Linked DNA regions of Macaca mulatta. The protein of the gene in region 3 interacts with the protein of the main gene of each other region in a biochemical or structural test. Links are inferred from orthologs where the notes say so. Each region holds a gene or a part of one and is shown on either strand. Other genes may lie near its edges. The genes, in order: SNAP23, SNAP25 and STX3.

Region 1 (7,929 bases), on a different chromosome or scaffold from region 3:
ACTAGCAGATTAGAAAGATCAAGACACAGGCAAGAATGATAGGAAGAGCTGAGGATGAGAGATATCATACTGGCCAAGGTCTCAATGGTATAAGAAAGAAATAGGTGGAAGAAAGGTAATTATAATCAGACATCTTTAACTGAGATAATACTTTCTTCTCTTCAGGGAACTGTTTTGTTACAGCAGTCCCTTGATTCCATCTCTCAAGAAGTACCAGAAAAAAGAAAAGAAAGAAGTGCCAGTTGGGTTCAGTGGCTCAAGCCTGCAATCCCAGTGCTTTGGGAGGTTGAGGATTTCTTGAGGCCAGGAGTTTGATACAAGCCTGGGCAACATAGCAAGACCCCCGTATCTACAAAAAATTTAAACAATTAGCTGGGCATGGTGGCACACACCTGTAATCCTAGCTACTTGGTAGGCTGAGGTGGGTGAATCGCTTGAGCCCAGATGTTTGAAGCTACACTGAGCTATCGTGGTGCCACTGCACTCAAGCCCAGGAGACAGAGGCAGATGCCATCTCTAAAAAAGTAGTGCCTTCTCTTGATCCACTGAGAAAGGGTTCTACTAAGGTTAGAGGCTGAAGAACGCTGATTCAGGACCATACTCTACCTTGTTTCCTACCAGTCTTCAAGAAAAGCTTGCCTATGCTCGGCTGGGATACACAAAGAGACATAAAATTAATATTCTGTAGCTACATTTCCCACTTTCTATGATATTAGACCATCTTAGGTCTAATTCAATGCTCTTCCTGTTTATCAACACGTGACTTAGAGTTGATCTTGCTCTAAGATTTTAGAGAAGACTTCTTTTTCCTTGTTCTCCTAACATCTGATCTCAAGAAAATTCATCTACTTCCTCTCTTCTGTACTCTTCCAAGAAGGTAGATGGAACACAAAAGAAAGGTACAATTATTTTTGTAAAACATAGCTAAGAGTTTGTATCAAACAATCTGTACATTTTAACTTGTTTGCTTAAAGTAATCTGCTGATTGACAAGTTATAGTTATTAAAATATGAACTTTCAGCTGGGAGCAGTGGCTCACGCCTGTAATCCCAGCACTTTGGGAGGCAGAGGTGGGCAGATCACCTGAGGTTAGGAGTTTGAGACCAGCCTGGCCGACATGGTGAAAGCCTGTCTCTACTAAAAATATAAAAATTAGCCGGGTGTGGTGGCACATATTTGTAATCCCAGCTACTTGGGAGGCTGAGGCAGGAGAATCACTTGAACCTGTAAGGTGGAAGTTGCAGTGAGCTGAGATCACACCACTGTACTCCAGCCTGGGTGACAGAGCAAGACTCCGTCTCAAAAAAAAAAAAAAAAAAACTCTCCGTTAGTCAACCAAGGTGTAAACAGGTCAACAGACTTGTTAGAACAGGAAGTCAATGGATAAGACTAGGAAGAACACTGTCAAATCTTAACTCCTCATGGCCAAAACAAACACTAAAGTTGACTGACAAGCAATTAATCTCTACTTTCTCCAGTAGAAATGGCACAAAAATGCTGTTACATAAAACACTTATCTGAAAATATAAAAATATAACCACTGTTGGTTTACAAGACCAGCTGAGAACTGGATGAAATACTAATGTCTAAGAAGCTCTTTAAAAATGAATACTTTGAGGCCAGGTGCGGTGGCTCACACCTGTAATCCCAGCAACTGGGGAGGCTGAGGCGGGCGGATCATGAGGTCAAGAGATCAAGACCATCTGGCCAACATGGTGAAACCCTGTCTCAACTAAAAATACAAAAATTAGCTGAGTGTGGTGGTGGGCGCCTGTAGTCCCAGCTACTTGAGAGGCTGAGGCAGGAGAATCACTTTAACCGGGGAGACAGAGGTTGCAGTGAGCCAAGATTGTGCCACTGCATCCCAGCACTTTGGGAGGCCGAGGTGGGAGGATCTCTTGTGCCCAGGAAAGAGAGGCTTAAGTAAGCCGTGATCACACCGCTGCATTCCAGCCTGAGTAACAGAGACCCTGTCTCAGGGGGGAAAAAAAAAAAAACCTTTCAGCAGTGAGTACAGTCATTCAATCTCCAGATACTGTCATTTCTTTTTACACTCCACTCCAATCTATCAACTCTTTAGTTTGGCATTCAAGTTCCTCTACTACCTAGTTATATCTTACTTTCCACTTCTCATCTACATGAGCACACAGCTCAGTTAAGTCAAGCTCCTTGTTAATCTTTATTTTGAACCTTTCATAGGAAATGCCCTCACTGTTCCTCCCTGTTCATCCAAATCCTTCTAATCACTCAAAGCCCAACCCACATCCTAACTCTTCTATAAGATGCTCTCCAACCCAACCTTTATCAGTTCTGTATACCTAGCTTTGGTCACTATCATATAATCTAACATCAGATTTATGTATTTTTTAAGTTTTGCCTTTCTTTCCCAACTTTTCTACTCTTTTGGCCATCCCTCATGTGCCTACCACAAAATAAATATTTTGTTAATACTCTGCCTTTTGAAAGGAAAAGAAAATAACTCCATCCTGCTCACCATCATCCAGATATACATTTCTCTATACTTCTTAACCTTTTCATGTATCACTACAAATTGAAATTGGAACTTGATCCCAGGATTGGTCAACTATAAGTCATAGTTTTCAGTGAACAAGCAGTATTGACACAAAAAGCTTAATCTGCCTGAAGGAGAGACAACTTAGATTTATCTAATAGAGTTCCTCATTAAACCCAGTCATACTTCTGACCTTAGCTGGCGGGAGAAGGTGGGGTACTGTCATTTATTTATTTTGAAACCGTCTTAATTTATCAACTCACCTATTACATGGGCAGACACAAAGGCCACAGCATTTGTTGAGTTCTGTTAAGGTCTTCTCTGTCTCTCTCATATCTTTATTTATTTGGTCCAAGCCTTCTTCTATGCGGTTTAGTTGTTCTAAGAATAAGTTGTAAAGTTACATTTTGTGTTCCATTCACAGTGTCAACCAGAAAATGCTATTATTATGGAGCAGTCAACTTCAACCTTGAATCTACCAATAACTCCCCACAGTGAATAAGTCAGTGTCAAAAGGTATTAGAAGCTATTCAACATGATAACAATCTTTCACGTACTGATCCTGAGGCACCTAGCCTCTTGCTGTGGAAAAATTTGTTCTAAGAAGTTTGTATATGGCTGGGTATGGTGGCTCATGCCTGTGATCCCAGCACTTTGGGAGGCCGAGGTGGGCGGATCACCTGAGGTCAGGAGTTCAAGACCAGCCTGGTCAACATGATGAAACCCCATCTCTACTAAAAATACAAAAATTAGCTGGGTGTGATGATGGGTGCCTGTAATCCCAGCTACCTGGGAGGCTGAGGCAGGAGAATCACTTGAACCTGGCAGCTGGAGGTTGCAGTGAGATGCAATTGCACCACTGAACTCCAGCCTAGATGACAGAGTGGGATTCCCCTCAAAATAAAATAAAATAAAATAAAAATAAAAAATAAAAGAATCTTGTATAGTAGGACCAAGGGATGGTTATTTAGAGATCATCCTTACAACCAAGTTAAGGGTACTCTGACCAGGTCAAATCCCCATCATTTCTATGAGGTTCAAAACCTGAGGGCTGTTATAGGAGTAATAAAAACTAGACCTGATTAATCAGGGCCAACTCAAGTGCTTCCAAGCACACCTGAATCTAGATCTGTTTTAGGACTTAACTTGATTTGAGGATGATGTAAGAATATCACAATGTCTGCCCAGACATGGTGGCTCATGCTTATAATCCCAGCACTTCGGGAGGCCAAGGTGGACGGATCACTTGAGGTCAAGACTTTGAGATCAACCTGGCCAACACAGTGAAACCTGTCTCTACTGAAAATACAAAAAATTAGCTGGGTGTGGTGGTGGGTACCTGTAATCCCAGCTACATTACTATCATAATGTCTAATGTGTTAGCCATGCTGGTCTAACACATACTCGGTATATACACAGTTGGGCATTGTTGCCTGCCATCCCAAATAGACAGTGAACATGACATTATTCAAACCAGAAGACAAGAAGTAAACATATTATTCTTACTTTACAAAGGGAAGGCCCTCCCAAAGGCTGAAATTTGTATGTGGCTAATCTGATAGGGCTTTTTGGCATCATGGTCAAATTAAGAATTTCTGCTAATAATTTAACTCACCCCCTTGTTCATCCAGCATAGTGATGGTCTTGATTCCTGCATCCTGAGACTAAAAGAAGTGGGAAAAAGGCTGATAGTAAAACAAAACAAACCAAAAACAACAGAAACAAAACCTACAAGAGCTGTCAAATAGCAAGACAGAATAATTTAGAAACCCAAGCTCTCAGAGGATTAGAGCTACAGACAGAACTAGTATTCTTAAACACACTTTAACATAGTAGCCCCCCAAAATAATTAAGTCACAAACTCATAGTGAATTCATCTTCCCTGTCATATTCCAATACTGTCAAAGGGAAAAACAAAAAAGGCCCATTAGTGCATAATTTGACAATTTCAGCAACTGTTAATTTCAAATAATAAAGCATATTGATACATTACCCTTTAACACTAATTCCAGCCAGAAGTATTAGGATATCTCCTATAAATTTTTATACTTAAGTTGGTGACTAACATTTTCTTACCTCAATGGCTAAACCCAGGATTCTCCTCGTACTTTCCAGAGACTAGGAAAAAACACAGAGTTTTAGCATTCCAAAATATGTAAAAAACAAAACAAAACAAAACAAAAAAACCATCCGATCACAGGCCACATTCATGATGCTATTCTATCTTTAAAAATGGCCAGCTCAGGCTGGGCACAGTGGCTCATGCCTACAATCCCAGCACTTTGGGAGGCTGAGGCAGGGGGATTTCTTGAGTACCAGAGTCCAAGACCAGCCCAGGCAACATAGCCCAACGGAGAGACTGTCTCCATTAAAGGAAAAAACAAAAAGAATTGCCAGCCTATCCCTTCCTTTAAAACAATGGGCCGGGCGCGGTGGCTCAAGCCTGTAATCCCAGCACTTTGGGAGGCCGAGACGGGTGGATCACGAGGTCAGGAGATCGAGACCATCCTGGTGAACACAGTGAAACCCCGTCTCTACTAAAACTACAAAAAACTAGCCGGGCGAGGTGGCGGGCGCCTGTAGTCCCAGCTACTCGGGAGGCTGAGGCAGGAGAATGGCGTGAACCCGGGAGGCGGAGCTTGCAGTGAGCTGAGATCAGGCCACTGCACTCCAGCCTGGGCGACAGAAGCGAGACTCCGTCTCAAAAACAAACAAACAAACAAAAAAAACCAAAACAAAACAATGGCCGGGTGTGGTGGCTCATGCCTATAATCCCAGCACTTTGGGAGGCTGAGGTGGGTGGATCACGAGGTCAGGAGTTCGAGACCAGTATGCCCAACATGGTGAAACCCCGTCTCTACTAAAACTACAAAAATTAGCTGGGCGTGGTGGCACATGCCTGTAATCCCAGCTACCCAGGAAGCTGAGGCAGGAGAATCGCTTGATGAACACAGGAGGCAGAGGATGCAGTGAGCCGAAATCACATCACTGCACTGCAGCCTGGGCAATAGAGTGAGACTCTGTCTCAAAAAAAAAAAAAAAAAAGTAAGTTGATCACTACATTTTCGGTTATTTTCAAGTGCTCCTTAAGAGAAAATGTGTAAGGACTTCCAGTGTGATGTTGAAAGGAAAAGTTTTTTTAAAAAAGAGAGAATATTTGGATGGTGAAGTTCATGGGAATAAAAATTTTATAGTCATAAAAATTTAATGTAGGTAGAAATCTAAGTAAATTACAGATATTAGGAAATTGTTAAATAGAAGTCTAGCATTTCTCAAATACATAATAGAGTATCTTTGTTGCACTTAAGTAATAAGTACCTAAAAAATAAAAATCATACAAATTGTTTTCACTTTAAGAAAATAAAAACCAGCAAAGGCACTAAGGGGCAAATGTGTTCTTTGATATTAATGGACTAGGAAGAGGCCAAAATGGTCCCTAAGAAGGCCCTCTCACCCCTCCAATATGAAAACTGAAATAGAATTATTTACTTATTTTAGGTAAAACATTTACCTCATCAGTAATCTGGTGAGCTCTCAGTTGAATTTCTTCTGATGACAGATTATCCATGATGAATCAAAACTCTATTAGGCACAGAAATGGAAATGTGGATATTGTATAAGAATAAGGATATATAAAAGTTTGTGTGAGCAAAAAGTGTAGATTTATGGAATTTAGGAACTTATCAGGAAAACAGGATAAAAGAGCCTCTTTCTATATCTATTAGTCTACCACAAGTAAAGAAATCAAGACCGAGAGAGGCTAAATGAATGTTTAGTAAGAGTGCTAAGGGTGAACCTAAAATACAGGTTTTAGGACTTCTAGGGAAGTACTCTTTCCAACAGGAAAGTGGATCCTTTACTTTGAGAACCAAGGCATTACTGGAAGACAAGCGTTAAAAGACTATTATATTAAAATGAATTTTTGGTTGTTCGATGTTCTTCACGTGTTGTCTGAACATGGAAAAGCAGTAAGTGAAGAAAAGTCCAATTTAGTAAAGTAACAAAATTTTAAGTTACATGCCTGAAGAACACAGGAGACATTTCTAAATATGCCAGTTGTCCCGCGTACTCACTGGAGAAAATACTTTCGCTCTTAACAAGAAAAGGGAAATGCTGGTACAAACAGCTCAGAAAAGACTAAGATTTTTATTATGCATTAGACTCTTCCTCTCCAATGGCTTATATTGTTTGTTGTTTTAGTGGAGTCCCTAAGAAACCAAACAATTATTCTCCTACACATAGTAACTCAGAAAGAGATCTCATAGACATCCAAGCTAAAAAATAAAACATTTTGTAGGTGTTATTCAGCACGGCTGTTATCTAATTCCTCTTTGAGAAGTCATGTGGAGTAATAACAAGCATTGTGCAACGGATCTAGGTTCTTTCTTTGTTACATTTGCTAGCTTTGTATGAATTTTCTCAAAACTCATTTACCAAAGCTCACAGTCAATGACACAGATAAACTCTGGTTCTTATTACAGATTTGCCCCCAGGAATCTGGCAATGTCTGGAGATGCTTGATTGTCACAACTTGGGCCAGATGATGGGGCTGGTTACTGGCACCTAGTAGGTAGAGGCAGGGAAGCCGTTTAACATCCTACAATACTCTTCAGGAAAGCCCTCCAGCAAAGAATAATCTGACCCAAAATGTCAATTTGAGGTGAGAAACCTTGCCATGGATATACCCTATGATAAGCAGAAAACCTAATTCCCCCAAGAATGTACTGGACTGAATTCTTGGAAGGCAGAGATTTTATCTTTGTATCTCTAACACCTAATAGGATCTGACAGTAGATACTCCGAAAATAGCGGAATGAACAAATAAGTAGAAAAACAGGGTGTACTCTCAAAGTATTTACGTGGCTCTTAGAAACAAAGCTGCATGTAACAGTAGCACAAAGCCTGCAAAGAATCACTAGAGCCACAAACCAAAAACTGCTATTCCAAGTGTATGATATGATCACATACAAATCTTTTCAGTCACTTTTGGCTGGGCGTGGTACCTCATGACTGGAATCCTAGCACTTTGGGAGGCTGAGGTGAGTGGATGGCTTGATCTCAGGAGTTGTAGTTCAGCCTGGGCAACATGGCAAAACCCCGTCTCTACCAAAAATACAAAAATTAGCTGGGCATAGTGGCGCGCACCTGAAGTCCAGCTACTGGGGAGGCTGAGGTGGGCAGATTGCTTGAGTCCAGGAGGTTGAGGCTGAAGTAAGTCATGATCATGGCACTGCACTCCAGCCTGGGTGACAGAGCAAGACCCTATCTCAAAAAAATAAATAAAATAAAAATAAAATAATAATAATAATAATCTTTTCAGTCGTTTTTAGGTGAACCACTACTATCATTTTATTTTTTATTTTTTTGAGATGGAGTCTCACTCTATTGCCCAGGCTGGAGTTCAGTGGTGCAACCTT
Region 2 (7,929 bases), on a different chromosome or scaffold from region 3:
GAAGGATTACTTTTTCTTTTCCATTTCTTTCTTTTCTCTTTTATTTATCTATTTTAATTTTTTAAAAAAATTTTCCAGATGAACTAAGACAATCTTTATAGAATGTTTCAAATCTTTCTTTTGCCATTCTGAGATGCTTTCGCCTAAGTCCAAAACATTTGAACTAAAACTAGAACACTCCAGGCATTCTCTCCAAAAGACCTCATATCTGCATGTTTGAAAAGGACCCCCCAACCTGATTTTTTTCATTTTTAGTGGGAAGTCTGGCATACACCGCTTTAGAATGCTTATTCTCTTCGCATGGCCAAAGTGTCTTGAAAGATAAATTGGCATAAAAAGAAGGATGCTAAAACATTCATGAAATATTAGTTGTGCAATAACCACTCCATGAAAGCTATGTGGTGCCTCTGAATTGACCTGCCCTAAGGCTGTGGGGCTTTTCCTGGGCTTAGTTTACATAGCCCAAGGCATTGATGTGCAGACTCCATTTCCTGCAGTTAGCATTAGCAGAGTTAACTTTTTTCCTGGAATTAAATATTCCCTCCTTGAGGATACTTTAATGAGTCTCTTACCAGAATCAGTTGTTCCCTCCCCTATGCACCTAAGGCAAATATGGCCTTGAATTTGCAGAGCTACTTACATATCTGTTTCCCAGCAAGACACCAATTTACATCTTCCTTCCTTATCCCCAGAGTTAGGCATTCTGTGAATATTTGTTGAAATGCATTCACCAAAAGAAAGTTCCTAACTCCAGGCTGAGAACAAAGTGCTACATGATTTCTAACCTTTTTACCTATCTATGGCATTCATTTTTTCTGAACTTTCTCCACTCACCTCTGTGTAGTTTTACATTACCCTTGAAATGCTGATAATGATGACTATTAAAAAGCAAGGCCCCACTCCTAACCACGGCTACACCCTGGAGTGTATTAAGGATGGTGTAAAGTTGTATATTCCACTGGAAGTGAGATTGTTTGCCTTAGGGAGACTTCACAAGTTTAGTAACCTTTCCTGTCTTTGAGACTGAATTTCAATAAGGATTCAGCTCAATTGAAATTTTATGGCACTGTCAAACCTTGGGATCATGAGTAAGATCCTGATACTTCAATCCTCAGGTTTTCCAAATGATTTCTGCCCTTGATGAATATTTAATACAGATTCTCTTTAGAGAACACCCTTTTTGATTGAAAAGCAGAATATCATCTAAATAACCAATGTCCTAGACATCAGGATGTTTGACCACAAATATAAAATAGCCCAGGAGGAAGTAAGAGCAAATCAATCTACTCTAATAACACTTCGCTCACAATTTCCTAAGCATGGAAAGTCTAATAGCCTCCTCTCATTTATTAGAGGCAGGAGATAGCTTCCATCTCTTTTGCTCCTTGTTCTAAGATGTAGCTTCGTGCTTGATTGAAAACTGCTTTAGGAGAAACAAAAACATACGATTCGAGAATCCTACTTCAACCAATAAGCTTTTGAGAGATTTTCCCCTAGAATAAATTAGAGCAGATACTCATTTTTGAAGACTGGCCAACATGGTTTGCAGTTTAAGAAGATACATGAAAAAGTGACCATGTTTCAGACTCTTGATTTGAAAGGGATCAGTTCAAGGTGTGCATTCTGATTCATTTATTCTTCTCCTTTCCACGGTCTAGGCAGCATTTCAACATTGCACAGGCAGGCAAATTAGTGATAGTTCTGATATTTCAGAAACTTACATCAGATGTGCACACACGTAAGCAAAAAAAGAAAAATGAGATCGGAGGCTATGGTTGAAAGTCATAAGGATGTATTATGATAATGTAATAATATACAATCAAATAAATATCTCGGTTGACTTCTGGGCTCCCTTCAGGTTAACATCAGAGCTCATGTAGGCATATCACTAAGATGGGCTTCTTTCATTTTTTTCCGCCTGAAAACTCGAGAGAGAGTAAGTCCATGCTAAGAGCCTTGCCTGCACTCCTAGATTTAGAATATCTACCTCCTTCTTCATCAAGTATTTCTGCATGAGCAGAAGCGTTCCCAGGACAGTACAGATAAAACATTGCTGTTCGCTTAGACAGAATGCTGCTTCCTTGTGCTGAGGGCTTGCTTTGCTAGGGCTGCCTTCCCGTGTGGCCCATTTGTGCCACATTGCAGGCTTGAATTATCATTTTGGGGGATAACAGATTTTGTTATGTACGCCCTACTCTCTCAACCCCCGCCCCACCCACTTCCCCGGCTTCCTAGGGAGTGCATGCTTGCCACCTCCTTCCCACTCCTCCAGTGGCAATTCACATTTAGCCATATCTCATTCCTAGGTGAGAAGCTGAAGCCACAGAAATAAGAGAAGGAAGACATTGCCTCCTAGAGTGTGAGAGGCGGCTGCCTTTCCTTTTACCCTTTGTAAAATTTATCTTTTCTTCCCTTTCATGTTGTTGCATGAGGGGAGTAGGCTCATTTAATCATTCTGCCAGAGAAAGCCCAAGATCTCTAAAAATGATAATCACACATGAATCTATACACTGATAAGCAGTTTCAGAGCACAGCTAAAACAGCATCTCACTGAATAAAAACTATTAGGCTTGTTTTATTAGGTTAAGATAAATATAGTCCAACCCATTCTTTTTCCACTTCATCTCTCCCTTCGGGCAAGTTCAATTAATCCATTTATTCTGCTGGCCGACTGCTGTACTACCAAATTGGAATGAGTGAGGTTTATGATTCCAAGTGCCCTTTTGATTCCATTATTACTGTCTGCCCCATTTTACCCATTTAAAAATAGTTTGGGATTCATTAATCCTGCCTCGCAAATGGATGCTTAATCCAGACAGGAATATAGAAAAGCTTCTGTATTTATAATATTGGACTTGATATTTCCCTTTCTTAAAGGCCTTTCCTATTTTTTTCGTAAATTTTAGTGCTTAACTTTAAATAGAACAATTTCTTAAAATGATATACCTATATGCATTACATATTTTTAAAAGTCATATATGTGGCTAAAGTTAGAACAGAATCTCAAGATTAAATGTAATTTATAGGCACCAAAATAATTACAAATAATATTTCATGTAGATAATTCCTTTGTATATTAAAAATTGCTCTGATTTGCTTAAAGTGATACAATCTTTTGTGATTTCTTGAGAGCACTGACTTGGAAATTCTATTCTTCTCTGCTTCCCAGACTACAGAGGTAGCTTGGGCTGGGAAGGAGGGTGATGTTGCCTTCATGGCTATCTGGCAACTTAAATACAGCATCTCCCTCATTCTGAGCCTTTCTGATAGGCTACATTCACACTGGAATCTATGGGATCATGGACTAAGGAAACATAATAGCAACTAGGAGAGGATATATCAGCATAAAGGATTTGTTTCTTTACCTTAAAATACTGTCACTTCTTACCTCTTCAACCAGTTGCAGCATACGACGGGTGCTTTCCAGCGACTAAGATTAAAAAAACAAACAAACACAAGCTTTATGAGTGCAGGATCCAGAGGTCTTGGAAAGTCAGAAATACTGTATTTACTTGAGAATCACAAAGGGTCTCTATCACATATTCTTTTCAGTTGGCAAGTGAAACACAAAATGTCATTACGTTTTCAAACTCTTTCCTATCAGGCTTTTTACATGATCAGATTCCCTAAAGCAATTACATTAAAGCTTATATTCATAAAATCAAAACCATATGAAGCTGATCTTGATATCAAAGACAAAGTAATCTGGAGAAGATAATTTTGCATGCTCAGAATGCATGAAAAATTATCTCAAATACTCAGAGGATTAATTTGGCCTCCCTGGGCCAGGAATATTAAATTTTAAACACGAGCATAATTTTTCATGAATCGAGATGAATATAACATCAAGTTTCTTACAAAGCTCCTAGAAACACAATTGGAAGTTCTTATCAATACAAATTAAGTTGTTGCCTTAGGGTGAAAAAAATCAAGCATGTTTGAAATGACTAGCCTATAGGAGACAGCTATAATAATTATCTTCATCCTTAGATAAGAAAAAATGAGATGGAAAGTCTGAGCTCTGCAACAGTCCCCCAGGCACGGCGTTGTCATTTTTTTCCTCAGTTCTTTTGAAACGACTAGAATCCAACAACCAGTATGATTTCTCAAAGCTTTGCTTTTAAGTGACAAACTTATTTTGAACAAGATTCTGCAGGAACCTGAAGGATGTTAACTTCCCTGGAAGACCTGTCAGCTGGCTGCTTTTTGAAACAGAATGGCTGCAAGCAGCAGTCTGCTGGTAAAGGTTTAACTACTGGCTCTCTGGGAAAAATATACGAACACATACATGTATTCAAGGTTATTATTTTACTGATGTAAAGGATGAATAGCACAACATTTATAAATAATAATAAAATATACGATACTCTCTTTATTGTAAATTCCGCATAGCCAATTGATTCTCACAGAAAGCTTTTACTGATTTTTGCTGAACTCTTGTATCTATAGCTAACCATGTGATGAACCAGAGTAGTTCTGACATGAATGTTGGTTGGATATTTTCATTTATGTTAATGAGTAAGAAGAAAATGAAACAATGAAGACATGTGTTGGAAATTTCTTCATTTGTGAATGACAAAAGGGATTTCTTTGCCTTAGAGAATCATAACTTTCAAATACTGGAAGATTTCCTCTTTTTGTGTTATTCATAGTATAATGGCTGCAGACATACATATTTCTAACTTTAATCTGCATTATTAATATTTTCTCCACTTTTTAAAGTCTAGGCAATCAGCGAAACAATAAGTCAAGTCCTGATCTGCAGTATTTGCAGATTCTTGGGTTATAAATACTTTTACTCTGTCTGATTTTTAAATTTTCAAATATTTTTAGAGGTAGGAGTCTCTCTATGTTGCTCAGGCTGGTCATGAACTCTTGGCCTATGCGATCCTCCTGCCTCAGCCTCCCAAGCAGCTGAGATCACAAGTGCGAGCCACTGTACTCAGCTCTGCCTGATTTTAAGCTACAACTTCATATTACTGATCATGAAGTTGGAAAGATACATGGTGACACATTATTACACCTTATTTCCACCCTACAGATACAATGGATGGATCTCAAGATCCTGGATAATAGTAAAATGTGGCAAAATAATTAGGAAGTGATGAGGTTTGAGTGTTTATTACTTTTGATTTTAATATAATCTATCTAATTGTCAGTTTATATGATTCAATTTTAATAATGGCTGCATTTAGCAACCAGCTTGCAAAGTTCCTGAAAATGTTAACAATCTGTTCTTAGAACTGAACCTTCTCCAGCATAGCACTGAATGTAAGGCACCCAAAGACATTGCTTTCTTTTCTTAGAGAACCTTGACTTCTCAAGATTTCTAGAAATTGAGAGTTACGGCCAAGGCATTAATTTGTATACAGGTTTTGTAATCAACTCATTCTGGGCTGCAGAAGGCTTAGCTGTATAGAAAATCAAAGTCATACTACTTTTTCTAAAATTGAGACATTGAAAGAAAGCCTTTCCTTACCTAAACCTGAAAAAGACAAACCACTCAGGCCTTCATCTTTTGCCTCCCTTCCTAGGTCTCCACTCCTTACCTCATCAGCCAACTGGTCAGCCCTTCGCTGCATCTCCTCCAGCTCATTGCGCATGTCTGCGTCTTCGGCCATGGTAGCGGTGGGGAGTGGCTGGGCGCCTGGGCTGGGGGGTCAGTGATGGGTTTGGCTCTGGACCTGGAAAGAAGTAGATTTGAAAATATGAGAGCTTATATATGTTCATGTAGGTGTGTGCAAAGACCAGAAAATCTACATGGCCCATATTCAGTCCACATGACTCAGTTTTCTGATCTGAAAGCCATGCTCAGACAGGGGTCAAGAGAATTGTGCTATTTCTCCGAAAGGTGCCACAAATACATACTTGCCAATTCTACCATGGAGGTAGACACCTATCTACCTATGAAATATTTCTAAAGAGACAAACTACCCAAGGGTTGGGAATGATGAGGTTGGAGGGGTGTGGTTTGGGGTTAGTGCACTTTTATCGTCACATTTATTTATTTATTTAAATAGCTCTATTAAGGTATAACAGATATACAGGACACCCCACATATGTGAAGTGGACAACTTGAGAAGTTTTGACATATGTATACGCCCAGAAAACCATGACTGCAATCAAAACAATGAACTTAGCCATTATTCCCCCAAATTTCCTACCCACCCAGTGGTCCCTGCCCTATCCCACATGTCTATGCCCAGAAAACTGCTGATCTACTTTCTTTTCTTTCTTTTTCTTTTCTTTTTGTTTGTTTGTTGGTTTTGTTTTGTTTTTGAGACGGAGTCTCGCTCTGTCACCCAGGCTGGAGTGCAGTGTCGCGATCTCGGCTCACTGCAAGCTCTGCCTCCCGGGTTCACGTCATTCTCCTGCCTCAGCCTCCCGAGTAGCCGGGTCTACAGGCGCCCGCCACCATGCCCGGCTAATTCTTTGTATTTTTAGTAGAGACTGGGGTTTCACGTGTTAGTCAATATGGTCTCGATCTCCTGACTTCGAGATCCACCCGCCTTGGCCTCCCAAAGTGCTGGGATTACAGGCGTGAGCCATCACGCCCAGCCTGATCTACTTTCTGTCACTATACATTAGTTTGCATTTCCTACAATTTTATATAAATAAAAATCACTTAGTAGGTACTGCTTTTTGTCTGCCTTCTTTCACTTAGCATAATTATTTTGAGATTTATCTATTTGGCAGCATGTATTAATAGTTCATTCCATTTTTGTTGTTGAACAGTATTCCATTGTATTTAGAAGCATGTGGAAGCCAAAGGCAGAAAATCTTTCCTCTATTTCAGTTGTCATCAGAGGTTGCCAAAAGGGCTTGTGTGAGGGTGAGCTGCTATCACTCCAAAGAGGATGGGTCCTTGGCCCTGAAAGGTGACCAGTCCATTTCTTGGCTACTCTCTTGAAATCCCACATGGTACAAATGACGGGTACCAGGACTGAGTCCATTCCAGAGAGAGCCCTCCTTCCTCCTTCCTTCTCCAATATTTATTGAGCACCTGTAATATGCCAGGCAGTGTTAGGTACTAGAGATACAGTTATGGACAAGATAGCCAAATTCCCTGCCTTTACAGAATTCAGTCTAATTGGGAAGATGCAAGCAAAAGAGGGAATTAGATGATTCAGGGTGATTATAATTACATTAGGGGTCATGTCTGGTGTCATGGGTGCCCATGGGTTTGCAACAGGCCTCTCTGAGGAAGTCATGTCCCCAGGCCATTGAAGGGAATGGGGTAAAGGGCCTGGTGGGGTAGGTATTTGACAGGGTGAAAAACTCTCTGTGAGTAGCACATTTGAAGAAGGCATGGGCTCTTGTCTTGCAGCTGAGATGGTCAACTGTGCGCTTTATCCTCACTGTTGCATGGTAGAGCGTGATCTCTGGGAAATGGCTGTGCAGCCAGGAATTACATTTCTAGTTCCCATTGCAAGAAGTGGTGTTTTGTGGCTAGAGACAGTCCATGAGTGGTAGTAGAACAATGTGTGTCCCTGTCAGTCTAAGGCAGTTCAGAAGCAGGTATTCTCCTCCCTCTCTTTCTCCTTCTGCCAGAAAAACAGAGTCTTAAAGGATGGCTAAGCCATGAGACCATGAGACAGAAAGAACTTGGGTCCTCCATATCCCTGCATGGAGGAAAGTGACTCCTGGCCTGTAATACCTGAACTCTCGTGTGAGCAAACAATATTTCTATTATGCTATGGAAAATGTGAGGGTTGTTTTGTTATAGCAGCCTGTGTTACACTAACTAGTAAATGTCTGACGAAACTTAAAATGGAACAGAAACATTGCATATGAGCATGATTTCCTAACCAAAAAATGTATTTGTGTTTGTCCTTCTATTGAAAACTGAAGCTGGGAAAGGAAATTAGATTTAGGGCCTTGGGACACTACCATGTTTATTATTAATATTATTTGCATGAGAATGACAAT
Region 3 (7,929 bases):
TGCAGTCAGCCCCCAGTGGTTCCGTAACTGTTCTAGAACCCCTCCCCACCCCCACACAGCCATCTACAGTAGCACTGGACTTGGAAGTTTACTGAAACTGGTTTACTGCTGACCTCACGCGGTAACTGTAAGGCCAGAGGTCATGTCTAAATCTCTGAGCCCTACATCCACATGGACTAGTAGCATTTTTCTGGCACAACACCTGGCCTGCATTCTAAAACTGTCAGATTCCCTTCCCACATGTCATACTTACCAAAGATCCTTGAGTTCTTACCCTAAACTCATTTCCCCAACTTTTCTTGCTTATAAGTAGATGCATTATCTCAACAGCCCTGGATGCCTAAGTTAAATCTTCCTAATAATTTTTATTCCTTGCTCACCTCTCAGCATCAAGCCCTACTTACTGGTTTCTCCTTTGGAAAATCGCCAATATGTATACTTTTTCCAAACCCGCTACCACCATGCAAATTTAGACCAAAACCCTTGCAAAAACCTAACTAGGGTCCCTAACTAGGGACCTTCCGGTCTCCAGCTTCTTTCCCACTTGTAAACAGCTTTCAAATGGCTACCATAATAATCCTCCTAATACATTGCTGCCTGAAGTTACAACATCAGATCCAAATTCCCTAGAATGGTCCTCAAAGACCTCTAGAATGTGATACTACGTTATTATGTGTCCGCTATCCCACAGCAAACTTTTTTCTCCAGAAAGCCTATTGTCTTCACGTCTGCCCCTTACGTCTACCCCTTACCACTACCAACCACTGCTGCCAACGCACACACACATGCACGCCCCACTCCTGCCCCTGTGCCTCTCAGAGAGGGAAAACTGCTTCTTGAGCCTGTTCATGTTGGCACTCCGGCCCAGCTGGCTACCCCCAATTCTTCCTGAGATCTTTTGATGCTGACAGCACCATGTATGTGTCTTCTTATCCCGTCCTCCTGCTGGGTCTTAGGTAATAGCTTTCCATGCCACTTCAATGGCATGCCAGTTCTTTAAGGACAAGGATCATATCTTTGATGACCCCTAAAGTGCCTGGCTCCAAACTGGACAACCAATGACTAACAATTGTTTAGAAGACATTAATTTCCTCTCCTGCAAAACAAGGAGGCGCACTAAATCCTAAGCTGTGCTCTAGGAAGCCTGAAGAAGCTCTTCAGGGGCCTCCTTAGAGAAGCAGAGTACAAGACAGGGGCCAAAAGGGCTGGACTCTGGCCCTGACCCCTATTTCTACCTGGAGAGTTCTCCTTTATCAGCTCTTCAAATTGAGTTTCAGATAAGGATTGTATTAAAAAAAAAAAAATCCCTCCACAGCTAAGGAAAAATATTAAGAAATTGGACTAGATAACCGTGAGACCAGGAAAAGTCTTACCTGGGATTTCCGAATCCGAAGGTCTGCCGATGACCTGACCTCATCTTCTTCAATATGCTTCTCCATGCCTAAAGAGAAGAGGAAGGTTATACTTGCAACCTATCTCCTCCTCCAAGAAACATGCTGTTCAGTGAAACTTCCTCACTCATTCCCACACACCCAGCCCATGGAGATGTAACAACAGGTAGGTGGCACCTCAAAAGGTCAGCTCCCAGGTGAGCCACAGGACATGCATTCCACAGCCTTTACAATGACCAGGTTTTGGCATAACAGTTAACAGCTTGGGTTTTGGTCACCATGAGACTTAAGCTTGAATCCTTGCCCTGGCACTTACTGGGTGTGACTTTGAAAAAGCCACTTAACCTCTCTTAAATGGACCTGTTCTCTCATCTGTAAAACAGAATAACTAACAGTCCCTCCCTCACAATACTAATATGAAGATTAAATGAGAAGACACATAAAGTACCTATCACAATGGCAGGTGCACTATCACTGTTATTACTGGAATCTGCTACTAATGACCCCTCCAGTTAACATAGTTATTGCAATATACTTGGGGGGAAGAAATGGCAAATTGGGCTGAGCAATAATGTTTTCTCTTCTGATCAATAGCATGCATGCACCAAATACACTGGGCAAGAATGCAGGCTCTAGCAACAGAACTAAGTAAACCTTCTAGACTCTGGAAGAATTGAATCTATGACAGTAGCTTCAATGAACTATACTCTCCCAAATGGGGGGAGTGGGGGTATAGGAAGGTGGTATGCCTAGCCCACCAAGAAATATCTGTAGACAGAACGGTATCTCTTGCATCTATATGTCTCTAAAACGACTATTCAAATGTATGTAGGTGGCTGGGCATTGTGGCCCACACTTGGAATCCCAGCAATTTGGGAAGCCGAGGCAGGTGGATCACTTGAGGCCAGAAGTCCGAGACCAACCTGGGCAACATGGTGAAATGCTGTCTCTACTAAAACTATAAAAATTAGCTGGGTGAGGTGGTGCATGCTTGTAATCCCAGCCACTTGGGAGGCTGACGGATGAAAATCACTTGAACCCAATAGGCAGAGATTGCAGTGAGCCGAAACTGAGCCACTGCCTTCTGGCCTGGGCAACAGAGGAAGACTCTGTCTTAAAAAAAAAAAAAAAGTATGTAGTTGCCAGGGAAATAAGACTAATAAGAGAAAAGTTGATGGGCCAGGTGCGTCCCAGTTACTCAGGAGGCTGAGGCAGGAGAATCACTTGAACCCAGGAGGTGGAGGTTGCAATGAGCCAAGATAGTGCCACTGCACTCCAGCCTGGGCAACAGAGTGAGACTCCATCTCAAAAAAAAAAAAAAAAAAGAAAAGTTGAAAGACTAAGTTAAAGGACCAAGTCACACAACTACTCAGCAGCTGAAAGCACATTTTAATTCTCATCTCCTAGCTTGCATTCTGGACTCTTTCCAGTATTGTCAGGATTTAAGAAAAGGTAAATTTCTGGGGCTACAATGGATCATTGCAGGGACAGAGCCTGAACCACAAACAAAGATGGTCCAAGTGGTGTCAGTTCCACCAAGAAGAGTTTCAGTTCGGAAAGCTGGACCCTAGGGGAGCTGAGATAGATGGTGGTGGGGACTGGCTTGTTTCCTTCATTCCCTTCTTACTCTTCAGTTTGTTCCGGACGTTGTTGGCCCTTTTCTTAATCTCAGTCGTGAGCTGCTCTAGGTCATCCTTGGTTTCTGGGTAAACAAAGGCAGGCAGAATCCGTTAGAAAGGAGAGGACTGATTCCTTTGTGAGCTACAGCAATCATCATCAGAGCAGGGTGGCTTTCTCAGGCATCCACTGCCCAGAATGGTATTTATCCCAGCGCACTCCCCAGAATCTATCATTAGAATCACAGAGTGCTTATTTTTTTAAAGGCATTTTCCAGGCACCCCATCCCAGTCTACAGAATAAAAACACCCAGGTTGGAACCGCAAAATCAGCCCTTTCAACCCTCCCAAGTAATCCTGCAGCACATAAAATTATGAGAACTCTGCTTTTAGAGGAAAGAGCCTACCATGGGGTCTTCGGTTGAGAAGGTTCTAGGGAGCTTATGGGGAAAAGAGATTTCAACCAAGGCTAATCAACTTAAAATGAGGCAAATATTTATGACATACCTATTACACACATCCTAGGTTGTATGGAGCAAACTAAGTATTAGCTATAACCATTCATTCAAAAGCCATCCTTCAACCCCCTACTACAACTTTGGAACAGAGCTAGAAACTATGGAATCAGAAAGAAGATCTAGGTTTTTCCTGCAAGATGTTTAAAGTCTAGTGGGAGACAAGAGAGAAATAAACCAGCAGCTGTAATATGCAGCGTGGAGTAAGGTATGAGTTCTGGTCAAGGTGTGCACAGCCTGGAGGGATCTGGAAAAGCTTCTAAAGACGGAGATGAGCAGGACTGAGTCTCAAGGACTGTGAGTTGGCCAGGTAGAGAAAGAGACTAAGAGCAGGAATCCCACGAGAAGAAACAGTAAGTAAAGGGTATGAGTGAACAGGAAATATCTGAGGAACCACCAGAATTGGTCTGGCTGAAGCGTGGGGAGCAGGAGGAGGATGGCAGGAGGCAGGCTGGCTGGGAAGGCAGGAATGTGATCAAGACAATGTCCATACGCTCTGCTAAAGTGTTCCCACTTCAGTCTTTAGGTAATAGGGCCCATGGGAAAAATGAAAGAGAGGAATGACAGTGTCAGGCTTGCTCCCTGTTCTTAAGGAACTGAAAATATAGCCCTAAACCACCCGTGTCCAAACCGTGGAATGCACAGATTTTTTTGCTTCTCTGTGGTGGCAGATATCAGGAAAATTATGTGCAAACCTTTCTTTTAGCTCATCGGCTATCATTAGTGTTAGTGTATTTTATGTATGGCCCCAAGACAATTCTTCTTCCAATGTGGCCCAGGGAAGAAAAAAGGTTGGACACCCGTGCAAACAATTAGGGGAGGAAAAAAGTTTGCCGAGGTGGTGGCAACAAACAGGAGTTTAGGGATAGAAGGAATTTCTGTGAACTTGAACCATTTTGGAACACCTCATGGAAAAAAAAATGAACTTGGTCTGGTAGGATTCGGAAAGAGGGCTAGGAAAAGCATTTCAGGCTGGGGAAACAGTACAAGCAGAGGCTCAGAGGAGGGACCAGGCCCAGGGTATGTAAGCAGCAGTGGGAATCGTCGCTAGTCAGGAAGAGGGACTAGCTGGGAAACAGGAAAGTCTGGCTAAATGGTTGGAGTGGGACCATGAAGAGAAAACCGTGACTGTGGCCAGGCAGTAGGAGCACAGGTAAGGTAAAGGAGAGGGAAATGAGATAATATGTACACTAGTGCCCTGTAACTTGTACACTTCCCTGCTGCTCACGAAGGGCAAGAAAACAAGGCTGGCTCAGCCCCGAGGAAAGGCTGATTATTGGGTGACTCAGTTCTAAGTAACCACTCACTTGGCTCTGGAATCGGTGCAGAGAGAATGATACTGTAGAGTTTCTTAGCCTCCTCCACATGTTCTGAGATCTTGTCAATGTTAAGCCGAGTTTCCTCAATCTATAATCAGAAAGACAATAACTTCCATCATCAAAGAGGAAGTACAGGTCCATGGCTGAGATAAACGCTTGGCAGAGCTGCTGGTGAAAGCTGCCCATCTTCTGGGTTCGTGGAAGAAGATAATGACTTAAAGTCTTCAGCTGCCCAGTGAGTACCCTTTCCATGGTTAAAGTCATCTCAACAGAACAGTTGTTAAAAATCCATACTTGTTGCTCCCTGAGAGTAATACATTTACCCACTTTGGATGGAAGGATTCAGGCCAAAGTCAAGAAGAGCTGGGAAAAACCATGAGGAATGATCAGAGGGGGAGAATCAGCAGACCTTAGCAGGCAGAGCCTTAAAGCCCGAAAAGTGAGAACAGAAAAGAGTGAGGATGAAGGAGAGGGGGAAAAGGAAGGAAGGAAGGAAAGAAGTGAAACGAAAAGAACAAACCTAGACAGTGAAAAACACAGAATGAGAGGAAGAGAAAGACAGAAACAGGCCAGGCGCGGTGGCTCAAGCCTGTAATCCCAGCACTTTGGGAGGCCAAGGCGGCGGATCACGAGGTCAGGAGATCGAGACCATCCCGGCTCACACGATGAAACCCCATCTCTACTAAAAATACAAAAAATTAGCCGGGTGGCCGGGCGCGGTGGCTCAAGCCTGTAATCCCAGCACTTTGGGAGGCCGAGATGGGCGGATCACAAGGTCAGGAGATCAAGACCATCCTGGCTAACACGGTGAAACCCCGTCTCTACTAAAAAATACAAAAAACTAGCCGGGCGAGGTGGCGGGCGCCTGTAGTCCCAGCTACTCGGGAGGCTGAGGCAGGAGAATGGCGGGAACCCGGGAGGCGGAGCTTGCAGTGAGCTGAGATCCGGCCACAGCACTCCAGCCTGGGCGACAGAGCGAGACTCCGTCTCAAAAAAACAAAAAATAAATAAATAAAAATTAGCCGGGCGTGGTGGCGGGCGCCTGTAGTCCCAGCTACTCAGGAGGCTGAGGCAGGAGAATGGCGTGAACTCAGGAGGTGGAGCTTGCAGTGAGCCAAGTTCGCGCCACTGCACTCCAGCCTGGGCGACAGAGCAAGACTCCGTCTCAAAAAAAAAAACAAAAATTAAAGAAAAAGACAGAAACAGACAAAGAAGACAAGGAGAGAAAAAAAGAGAGAGATAATAGGCAATGAAGGTCTCATGAGACAGCCTGAGCTTCTCTAGGACATATGTTCTTGTACTAACTGATTTCCTCAGACAATCAGGACCCAGTAGCTCAAGCCACAGCCCATTTCTGCATATTTCTAAGGTTCCTGATTGTACAAGGCTGTGGGTATCATAAAATATTTCCAGCAGCACTTCATTCCCAGGTAGAACGCCACTGCCAGACATTCCTACATGAGCTTTGACTGCAGTCTCAGATCCCCCTTCATAGCTCCCCATGCCGCTGTTTCCATAGCCCTGCTGCGGTGGAAGCCTATATACAGGGAGCAGGACAGGAAGGAGAAACCTCAACACCTGCAGGGTCTATCCGCTTCACTCTCAAAGTGAAGGGCACATCAACATTGCAACAATTAACAAACAGAAATCTTGTAAAATGTCATACAGTAGGATCCTAACATCTGAGATGCAACAAAAATAAAACTCAATGCATATGCAGCTTCCAGCATCCCTCTTTTCCCGTGGATACTTCATCTTTTTCAAAACTTGATTATAGCTCTTCATATTCAATAGAAAATAGGAGGCCGGGCGCAGTGGCTCAAGCCTGTAATCCCAGCACTTTGGGAGGCCGAGACGGTGGATCACGAGGTCAGGAGATCAAGACCATCCTGGCTAACACGGTGAAACCCCGTCTCCACTAAAAAATACAAAAAACTAGCCGGGCGAGGTGGCGGGCGCCTGTCGTCCCAGCTACTCGGGAGGCTGAGGCAGGAGAATGGCGTAAACCCTGGAGGCGGAGCTTGCAGTGAGCTGAGATCCGGCCACTGCACTCCAGCCTGGGCGACCAAGCGAGACTCTGTCTCAAAAAAAAAAAAGAAAAGAAAATAGGAGAGGCCAGGCACAACGGCTCACACCTGTAATCCCAGCACTTTGAGAGGCCAAGGCAGGCAGATTACTTGAACCCAGGAGTTCAAGATCAGACTGGGTAACATGGCAAAACCCCGTCGCTACAAAAAACACAAAACTCAGCCACGCATTGTGGCACGCCCCTGTAGTCCCAGCTACTCAGGGGGCTAAAATGGATGATCCCTTGAGCCTGGGAGGTTGAGGCCACAGTGAGCCATGATCATGCCACTGCATTTCCCGCTTGAGCAACAGAGTGAGACTCTGTCTCAAAAGAATAAAAAATAAAAAAAAAAGGAGAGAAAAGAAAAAAGAGAGAAAGAAAATAGGAAAAAAAACACTTGAGCTCTCCAGCCCTCAAATCAGTACTTTTGCCACTGGAGTACACGCTTTTCCCCTCTATAAATATATTGGTTTAGATGTGCCACAGTTTGAGAGTAGAGTTGCTTGCTGAAAGATGTAGAATAAAATTACAATGTAATAATATCATGGGAGTGTAAATATACATACAGGTAACTACCCAAATATTTGTGAAGCATTTTAACAGTTTGCAAAACAACCTATAAGACTGGATCGGTACCATTATTCAAATGAGGAAACAAGTTTAAAGAAATCATAGGTCACATAGCTTGTGGTAGGGACAGCATGCAAATAGTGCCCGCCACACTCCAACTGGGATGCTTTTTTCCATTAGATCAAAGAGTTAATTTTTTTTAAACTATCTATACTGTTTAGAAGCATTCTAGCACTACCCAGCTATAAAAAGGGCCACTGTTACAACCTCTGAACACTCACTGATACGGTTTGGCTCTGTGTCCCGACCCAAATTTCATCTTGTAGCTCCCATAATTCCCATGTGTTATGGGAGGGACCCACTGGGAGACAACTGAATCATGGGAGTGGGTCTTCCCCATGCTGTTCTCATGATAGTGAATAAGTCTCAGAAGATCTGATGGTTTTAAAA

Evidence for each region.
Region 1: the proteins of STX3 (region 3) and SNAP23 form a complex in vitro, tested with the Homo sapiens proteins (3 studies listed by BioGRID). The link is inferred for Macaca mulatta from reciprocal best matches to the Homo sapiens genes STX3 and SNAP23.
Region 2: the proteins of STX3 (region 3) and SNAP25 form a complex in vitro, tested with the Homo sapiens proteins (2 studies listed by BioGRID). The link is inferred for Macaca mulatta from reciprocal best matches to the Homo sapiens genes STX3 and SNAP25.

The regions. Positions count from the first base shown.
Region 1 is NC_133412.1:19,916,724-19,924,652, reverse strand, and holds part of SNAP23 (synaptosomal-associated protein 23), read right to left. Parts: intron 7,775-7,929; exon of another isoform or gene 7,658-7,774; intron 6,095-7,657; 5' UTR 6,081-6,094; coding exon 6,024-6,080; intron 4,631-6,023; coding exon 4,589-4,630; intron 4,177-4,588; coding exon 4,128-4,176; intron 2,894-4,127; coding exon 2,776-2,893; intron 1-2,775. UniProt on the Homo sapiens protein: Essential component of the high affinity receptor for the general membrane fusion machinery and an important regulator of transport vesicle docking and fusion.
Region 2 is NC_133415.1:73,751,844-73,759,772, forward strand, and holds part of SNAP25 (synaptosomal-associated protein 25), read right to left. Parts: intron 5,685-7,929; 5' UTR 5,622-5,684; coding exon 5,550-5,621; intron 3,431-5,549; coding exon 3,389-3,430; intron 1-3,388.
Region 3 is NC_133419.1:14,093,463-14,101,391, forward strand, and holds part of STX3 (syntaxin-3), read right to left. Parts: intron 4,930-7,929; coding exon 4,830-4,929; intron 3,094-4,829; coding exon 3,019-3,093; intron 1,442-3,018; coding exon 1,374-1,441; intron 1-1,373. UniProt on the Homo sapiens protein: Potentially involved in docking of synaptic vesicles at presynaptic active zones. Apical receptor involved in membrane fusion of apical vesicles.